Linked DNA regions of Macaca fascicularis. The protein of the gene in region 2 interacts with the protein of the main gene of each other region in a pairwise test. Links are inferred from orthologs where the notes say so. Each region holds a gene or a part of one and is shown on either strand. Other genes may lie near its edges.

Region 1 (4,187 bases), on a different chromosome or scaffold from region 2:
AAGAAAAATCTACCTTCTTGGGACTACAAAGCTGACTAGCTGGCTCCTGAACCAGCATCTCTATGCCAGAGTACTCCCAGAGGTACTCTATCTCCAGAGGGCCTCCGTCCCCACTCTGAGCTAGGGTTTCCTGGCCATTGTTACAGATTGAGGAATTAAAAGGAGTTTGGGGCCAGGTGCGGTGGCTCATGCCTGTAATCTCAGCACTTTGGGAGGCTGAGGCAGATGGACTGCTTGAGCCCAGGAGTTTGAGACCAGCCTGGGCAACATGGCAAAACCCCGCCTCTACAAAAAATACAAAAATTTAGCCGATGTGGTGGTGCGTGCTTGTAGTCCCAGCAACTCAGAAGGCTGAGGTAGGTGGATCACCTGAGCCCAGGAGGTGGAGGCTGCAGTGAGCCATGATTGTGCCACTGCACTCCAGCCTGGTGACAGCGTGAGACCTTGTCTCAGGAAAAAAAAAAAAAAAAAAGGAGTTTGGTCTGAGAAAGAACCAAACTTGAACCTGTCCTCAAAGGGTATGGGAGGACATTGGGTGGCTCGGTGCTTCTCTTTCCAGTCTCACAATTATCTCTCCAAGAGTCCCCACTGAGAAGGGACCAGAAAGCAAGTGACGGCCTCGCTTCCCTGGGAAGCTTAGGCAGGACCTAGAAGAGGGTGGAAGGGGAACAGAGCTGCCTGGATTCAGACTGCATAGACTGTAGAACAGAAAACCGAGGTGGGGCTGTAGAGCGCTCCTCCTTGGTGTTAAGTTTGAGTTCTGTCCAGTGGGGCCAAGCCTCTGGGCCCTGCCACTGCAGGACAGAGTTGTTGATGGGCTGATTGATGATGGGTGTGGCCACTCCTGCTCTATCCCCCAGCGGTCCAGCTGACTGGTGAGGGAATGGCCAGCCTAATGTGGGTGGCAGAGGGCCTCTGTGCTCTCTGGGAGGCCTCCTCCCACTGTCCCATCATGCCAGCTGTCTCCTCCCTTTGTCCTGATCCCTGGAAAGTGGCCTGAGGCTGGCTGACATCACCTCCCCTCCTCCCTCTGTCTTCTCTTTCTCCTTCCTGATCTCCCTCCTTTGGTCTATCTCCCTTGAGATGGGCCTCCTTGGGTCCTTCAGCCTCTCGTTTTTCGTTTTCCGTGAGCCACTAGGTCTTTTCAGCCCCCTCCAAACCTTTTACTTGCCTCCCAATCACAAGCCCCTGCCAACCACCAGTAGCCATCTGTTCCCGCCCAAAAGAAGCAGATAGGACTCAGGCTACGCTTGCCCCCTCCCCTCCATTCAGGCGCAGCCTCTAGTAAGAAAAAGGAGAACAGGAGGGGGCGGGGAAGAGGGGAGAGCCCGGAGCCAGGAGGAGCAGGGGATGAGGAGTGAGAGGGAGAAGGGAAACAAAAGTGAGAGGAGGGGGACACAGCCTTCTGGAGAAGAAAGGGACCAAGGAGAGAGACAAAGAGAGGGCAGAAATAAAGTGACAGGAGCGCAGGGCAGGCCGTGGAGGTCTCTCCCCGGCAGCCTCCTCTCCCTGGTGGACTCACCGACGTGGCAATGGCCATGGCTTTGGCCTCCCGCGCAGCCTGCCTCAGGCCAGGCTCGGTTTCGCTGACTTCAGCGGTGGCTGCCCCGCACCATGATTCGGGGCCTCTAGCCCCCAGCTGTGGCGCCTGAGTCGTGGCCTCCGCCAAGGTCGGAGGAGGAGAAAGAAAACCCACAAAACTTCCCAAATGAGAGGCAGGCTAGCCAGGCAGGAGGAGGAGCGGGGCGGGCCGGGGCGTCGCTGCGGGACCGCATCCAAGGGCGCGCGCTGCGTGCTGTCCCCGCGGTCTCCCGGGCACCACCACCTCGTCCAGTCCCCGGGAGCTGCCCGCCCTAGACCGCGGGGGCGCCCCGGGCTCGCAGGAGCCGAAAGTTCCCTTCGGGGGCCGGGGCAGGTGAGCAGGCGGGCGCTGGGCTGCGCTCGACGCCTCTCCAGGCCGCTCACGAGAGCCTCGAGGGCTGGGAGAAGCCGCTGGGGCGGTTGGGCTGGACGAGCGAGTTTTGGGGCCAACCCTCTCCACCCGCCGGCTGTGCTGCAGAGCGGTGCTCCCAGGGCTTGGGTCTGCGGCGACCCCGCTGGGAGGGAGGGAGAGCGAGAACTTAGACGTTTGTCCCAAGTTGCCCGGAGCCAAAGACCCCCGAGAGCGTGGCTGTGGGGCTGGGTCGCTGGAGTGGCCGCTTCTGCCCAAACACTCGCACCCCCGGCAGCGCGGCGGTTTTCACGCGCGCACTCACTCAGCGCGCCCGGGGGTCTGAGGTCGCCGCCACAGCGCCTCACCCCGAGCAGCAGCAACCAGCACACAGGCACCACTGGAACAGGCGGGACAGCCTTTCCGACGCGCTGCCCGCGCCCAGGCGGCAGAGGGGCCCAGCCCCCTTCCAGTCCTCGGCTCCAGGGCGCAAGGCCACAAGCTCCTGCTCCCACCCTCGGCCCCTGGCACCCGGCGCCGGCCCCGCCGCCCCCTCTCACAGGCACCCTTGGCAGGACCCCGCGGCGCGCCCCACAGCTTGGGGGCAGCTCCCAGGTGTCTCTGGGAAGGGAAAGAAAGGCCACAAAGCAAAAGAAGGAGCAAAGAGAAGGCAAAGGAGGAGCAGGGTCCCGGGTCCTGCGGACTCGCCTGGGCTGGGGGTGGGGACACTGAGAGGGCTGCGAAGGCTCCGGGGGTCGCGCGTGGCCCCCAGGCTCACCCCTGGGCCGCGGCTGCCCTTCTCTCCCCTTCCTGGGCTCCTGGCCCCTCTCAGTGCTGTTCCTTTCTCCTCCCCTCAGGCCCTCTCCTCTCCGGCGCGGGGCTCAGTCCTGGGGATTAAGAGAAAGGAGGGAGGGGAAAGGGGAGGGGAAGGGAAGGGGCGGAGGAGAAAGGGGGACGATCCTTCCAAAGGCGGGTGTTGAGTTTCAGCTCAGGACCCTCGGGTCCAACTGCCTGTGGTACCCCTCCCCCACCCGTTCCCGCCCTGGTCCTGCCCCAGTCCCCGGCGCCTTCCTCCTCTGGACTCCGCTGCAGGCCTCGCTCGCGGCAGTCCGGTCGGCTTTCTCCGGGAGCTTTCCTCTCCCCGCCACGCCCCCGTCTCCCCCGCTGGCCCCGCGCCTCCCGGCTTCCCTTTCATTAGCCCCACATCTGTCTTTCCCCATGGAGGGAGCGCGCGCCTCCAGCCCAGCGGGGCCCTTAGCAGAGCCTCTCCAATCCTCGGCGCCTCCCCTGCAGGGCAGCGGGGTTCGCTGGGTCGTTCTTGCGGGGCACAGGGCGGGAGTCTGGCGCTGGACATGGATTCTGACCCTGGTGACAGAACATGAAGCAGGGCGTCTGGCCCCAGAGCTGCAGGCGGGCAGGTTGTGCGGCCTCTTACACTCCTCTGCCAGTCTGGGCCTGTCGGCCTCTTCAGCCTGGCTCGCTCTTGCTGCTATGAGGAGAGGACTGGGGACCGCTAGCACAAAAGTTGCTAGAACTCTTTCAGAGAAGCTGGGATCTAGCCCCGCCAGGAGTTTCCACTGAAAGGACGGTGCTCCTGACCCCCAAAGCTCCTCTGCCCTGGGATAACTCCTTAGTGTGTGCTGCTTCCCTGGACCTTTCCTTTGGGACACACACATCAGGGCCTGTCAAGCTTGAGTGACACCTACCTTCTTGCATTTTTGAGGTTCCTGGTATTTAAAAAGCAAGATGATAAACAGGATTGAAAGCTGTGGTATATTTTGGATGTTTACATTGAACAAATTAACCCTTCAAACACATATGTAACCTTATTGTGTGTATGTGCATAACCTTATTTGGAGATAAGATCAGAAATGTAATATAAGGCCTTTGGTGAACTTGAGGACCTGAACAGATAACCCCGCCTCAATATTCCACAGACCCACACATCTAGGCATTTCCTAGGACAGTGTGGTCAGGACACGTGCCCCAGCTCCTTCCCCACTCTTATTGCCTGGGCACCTGTGAAGAAACCTCTGCGTGAGGGGTGTGGTGGAGCCTATGGGGTGGAATAGGGAGAGATTCTGGGATAAACATGGGGATGGGGATGAACTGTGTTGGCTGTAGGCTGGCTGGCTGTGATGGAAGACTCCTGAATAGTTTCCAACTCCACTAGGATAGCAGAGGAACTTTTAAATTTCCAGGGAGATCTCCTGCTTCCCAGCTCCAGTTAGGTTGGAGGTGGCCACTAGGGAAGATT
Region 2 (3,561 bases):
CTACAGTAATCTAACTCACTGGAGGGGTTGCCGTTGAGCCCTGAGTAACTGCAAAGGGATGGACACATTTTGCTATCATCCCCACCTTTTAATCCAGAGCAGCGTGGTAGAAGAGAGACATTTGGAGAAGTTAAAAGGTTCACAAAGAGAGGAGAGCATGTCAGTAAGCATCAGACAGCACAGCAAGGGGAAAGCAGTTAGTGTGTTTTAGTCTAGAGGCTGATTGTTAACGCATGGAGCATCAGCTCTAGAGAAAAAGGTCTAATTCTAAAGCGAGCTAATACTTTCTCAATGAATGTAGCTTTGCAGAGAGAGTTGGCAAAACTATGCCTAAGAAGTAACTGATGGAAGCAAATACGCCTACTTCTATTGCATAATTCATACACCTTTCTGACAATACTGTTTGCCAAAACACAATAGTGCCTCTTCAGCTGATAGCATGATCTGGTAGTAAAGGTTTAACAGTTAGTGCCAAAAGTGTTATACACTTAATCAATTTCATAGGGCCGGAATTTGAGTCCCATTTGATTCGTAATGATACATAGGTAGAGAGGGGTTTACACATTTACATCTAATTAATACTCTCATGACTATATAAAATAATTTTTTATGGGTTTTGGATTTTAAAAGCTATAAGGCAAAGTATTCTCCAAAATTGCAAAATCAAAATGCTGTGAACTATTGCTGCTAACGTTTCTCCAAGAAAAAAATAGCTAAAGCTCTTTAAACTAACGAATTTACCTCTTAAATTGCTCTACCTTTAACCTCTTATTAGGTACATAGTTCTCATAGGAAAACTGAATATAATGCAAAGCTTTCATCAGAGGCGCATATATCATGCTTTTTTTCTGGGAAGAGTTTTAAAAAATATATTTGCAATTTGATAATAGAGATGTACACTTGGATTCAATTTTGAATAGCTATGGAAATGTTCTTTTGTTTTGCTGAGTTAACTAATAAATGAGAAGCCAAATTATATCTAACAGGACATTTTCTTCTTAGAAATAAAATCTAACGGAGGAAAATGTCTGTATTCAATACACATACCTTACAATGTTCTCTAAATTCTTTAAAAGTAGGTGAGCACATTAGGTAGATATGTACTGCCTGGGAAAGGAAGTTGATTTAACACTCCCTGTGATAAAACAAATATCTACATTTATCAGAATCCTTTTGACTTTTGGGTAGTATACAATAATAATGAGTCAATGGCATTGCATGACTTACTTGTTACCTTAAGATATTCATTGGAATACGTGAGTTGGATCTGAGAAGGCATCTCTGCTCCTCAGAGGAAAGGAGGATGGATGGAGCTTGTATGCCCTCAACCATCAGCTGATATCACAGCTTTACGAGGCCTGAAAAGGGCGAGGCCTCCACCTACTCAGAGTCCAATCATCACAACCAGAATATCTTTTGCACACAAATCAGCTATCACTTTTAACTATCATGTGGCAATGGTTTTAGTGAGTATAGTTGATAGGTGTAGCTGAATCGGTCTAGTTTTATAGAAACTTATGTTAGAGCTCAATTTCTTCACACATTTCAAAATCTCTTTCTCTTCCATTTCGATCCTGAGATATTAGAAGAGATTGTGTGGTCCCATATTTGGTAGAGCCCTAGCTCCCTGTGGGTGCTGGTTCAATCCTTACTCTCCATCTCAGAAATATTCCTGTCCTCAAGGAAGACCACTAAATGGTCTTCCAGAAACCAGAGGGAGTGACTTACTCCTTTCAACAGTGAGCTCCCTACACCTGCAGTGAGGAGACAGGCCGCCCAGAAAAAAAGGCTTGGTGATTCCTGAATGACGTAATTATGGTCCGGGACCCATCAGTCCTGACTGTGAACTGCTGTGAATGGACCACTATGTGACCTGGCAGGATGTGGATGCTCCACTGTTCATATGAAGGTGGCCCAAAATATACAGCAAATGGCTAAAGAAATTAATAGGTCGGATTTTGTTTTTAAATCTAGAATTGAATAACTTTTTAAAACCTCCAAACCAATGTATATTTTAGGTAACAATTTCCTCTGTTGCTGCTTGTAATTTCTATCCTATAAATTTGACTGATTTGCTAGTTGCAGAAACATTAGAAAATTTTGACTATACCTCAATGTTTACAAATGACATCTTTTAGTAGCCTGATGATACATATTTGATACTTTGAATTTGTTTAGAAAGGGATCTATTTGGGGGGAAAAAAGCGTTAGCAGATGCTAGTCAGAGTTCTTGAAGCAACCTGAGTGGCTCGCCAGCTTGAGTCAGTCTGGGTGGGAAGAAAGCTATTGTTCTAAAAGTGTATTTTATTCCAGACACTGTAGGTGGGAGCCGGCTCGTGCCACTATCACTGGGCCAGCTTTCACACAGTGCTCTAGGCTAAAATGTAAACTAGTAAATTGTTGTGTTTTCATTTACTATTGCTCACCTTTTGCTCTCGATGGGGAAGAAGGAGAAGAGCTAGTGAAAGACTTTGTAAGGGTGGCGCTTGATCCTGGGAGGTCCGCTCGGCCTGGGCTAGTCCTGCTCACACTTTGATCTCCCAAGCCCCGTGGTGGACCCACTGCAGGCTCGCTCTTCCTCCGCTTCCTGAAGTCACTGGCCATGCTTGCAGAACTGAAAGAAGGAATCAGATCTGTTTGACTGGCACTGGAGGAGGTTAAGGTGTGCACCAGAAAAACCAGTGGAACATGCTAGTGACTCCTAAACTTCTATCCCCAAAACTGCATGGCTAGGAACCCATCCCTCGATGTTCAACATGATTTCTCTAGAAGGATCCTTTTAAAAATGAAAAGACTTTATTATTTATTTATTTTGAGATGACTTCTGGCTCCGTCACCCAGGCTGGAAGTGCAGTGGTGCAATCACAGCTCATTGCAACCCCAAACTCCTGGGCTCAAGGGATACTCCTGCCTCAACCTCCTGAGTAGCTGGGACCACAGGCGTGCGCCACCACATCTGGCTAATTATTTAAATTTTTATTTACATAGAGACAGAGTCTCACTATGTTGCCCAGGCTGGGTTGAGACAGAGTCTCAAACCCCTGATCTCAAGTGATCCTCCATCCTCAGTTCCCTGAAGTGTTGGGATTACAGGCATGAACCACTGTGCCCGGCCGACTTAATTTTTTTAGAGCAGTTTTAGGCTTGCAGAAATGATGACTGGAAAGTGTAGAAAGTTTCTTCGTAGTCCCTTTCCTCTTGCACAGTTTCCCTTATCATTTACGTATTCTTTTAGTGGGGTACATTGTTACAATCGATGGATCTACCTCGATGCATCTTCACCCCAAGTCCATAGCTTACATTTGAGTTCATGTTTTATCTTAAACATTTTATGGGTTTTGAGAAATGTATAATGATGTGTGTCTATCACTAATGTGTCAAACATATAAAATAGTTTTACTGCCATAAAAAGTTTCTGTTCTCCAGCTTTTCATCCCTCCCTTCCTCCCGCTCATCCTGGCACCCATTGATCTTTCCACGGCCTCCACAGTTTTGCCTTTTCACCATGCCCAGTTGATATCATGCAGGATGTGGCCTCTCGGATTGGCTTCCTTCACTCAG

The links.
Region 1: the proteins of SORBS2 (region 2) and EFS interact in binary tests that used the Homo sapiens proteins (3 or more experiments, as listed by UniProt). The two-hybrid records come from large-scale screens. The link is inferred for Macaca fascicularis from reciprocal best matches to the Homo sapiens genes SORBS2 and EFS.

Annotation. Positions count from the first base shown.
Region 1 is NC_088381.1:91,134,389-91,138,575, forward strand, and holds the start of EFS (embryonal Fyn-associated substrate), read right to left. Parts: upstream 2,802-4,187; 5' UTR 1,541-2,801; coding exon 1,523-1,540; intron 1-1,522. UniProt on the Homo sapiens protein: Docking protein which plays a central coordinating role for tyrosine-kinase-based signaling related to cell adhesion. May serve as an activator of SRC and a downstream effector. Interacts with the SH3 domain of FYN and with CRK, SRC, and YES.
Region 2 is NC_088379.1:190,382,904-190,386,464, forward strand, and holds part of SORBS2 (sorbin and SH3 domain-containing protein 2), read right to left. Parts: intron 2,615-3,561; coding exon 2,427-2,614; intron 86-2,426; coding exon 1-85. UniProt on the Homo sapiens protein: Adapter protein that plays a role in the assembling of signaling complexes, being a link between ABL kinases and actin cytoskeleton. Can form complex with ABL1 and CBL, thus promoting ubiquitination and degradation of ABL1.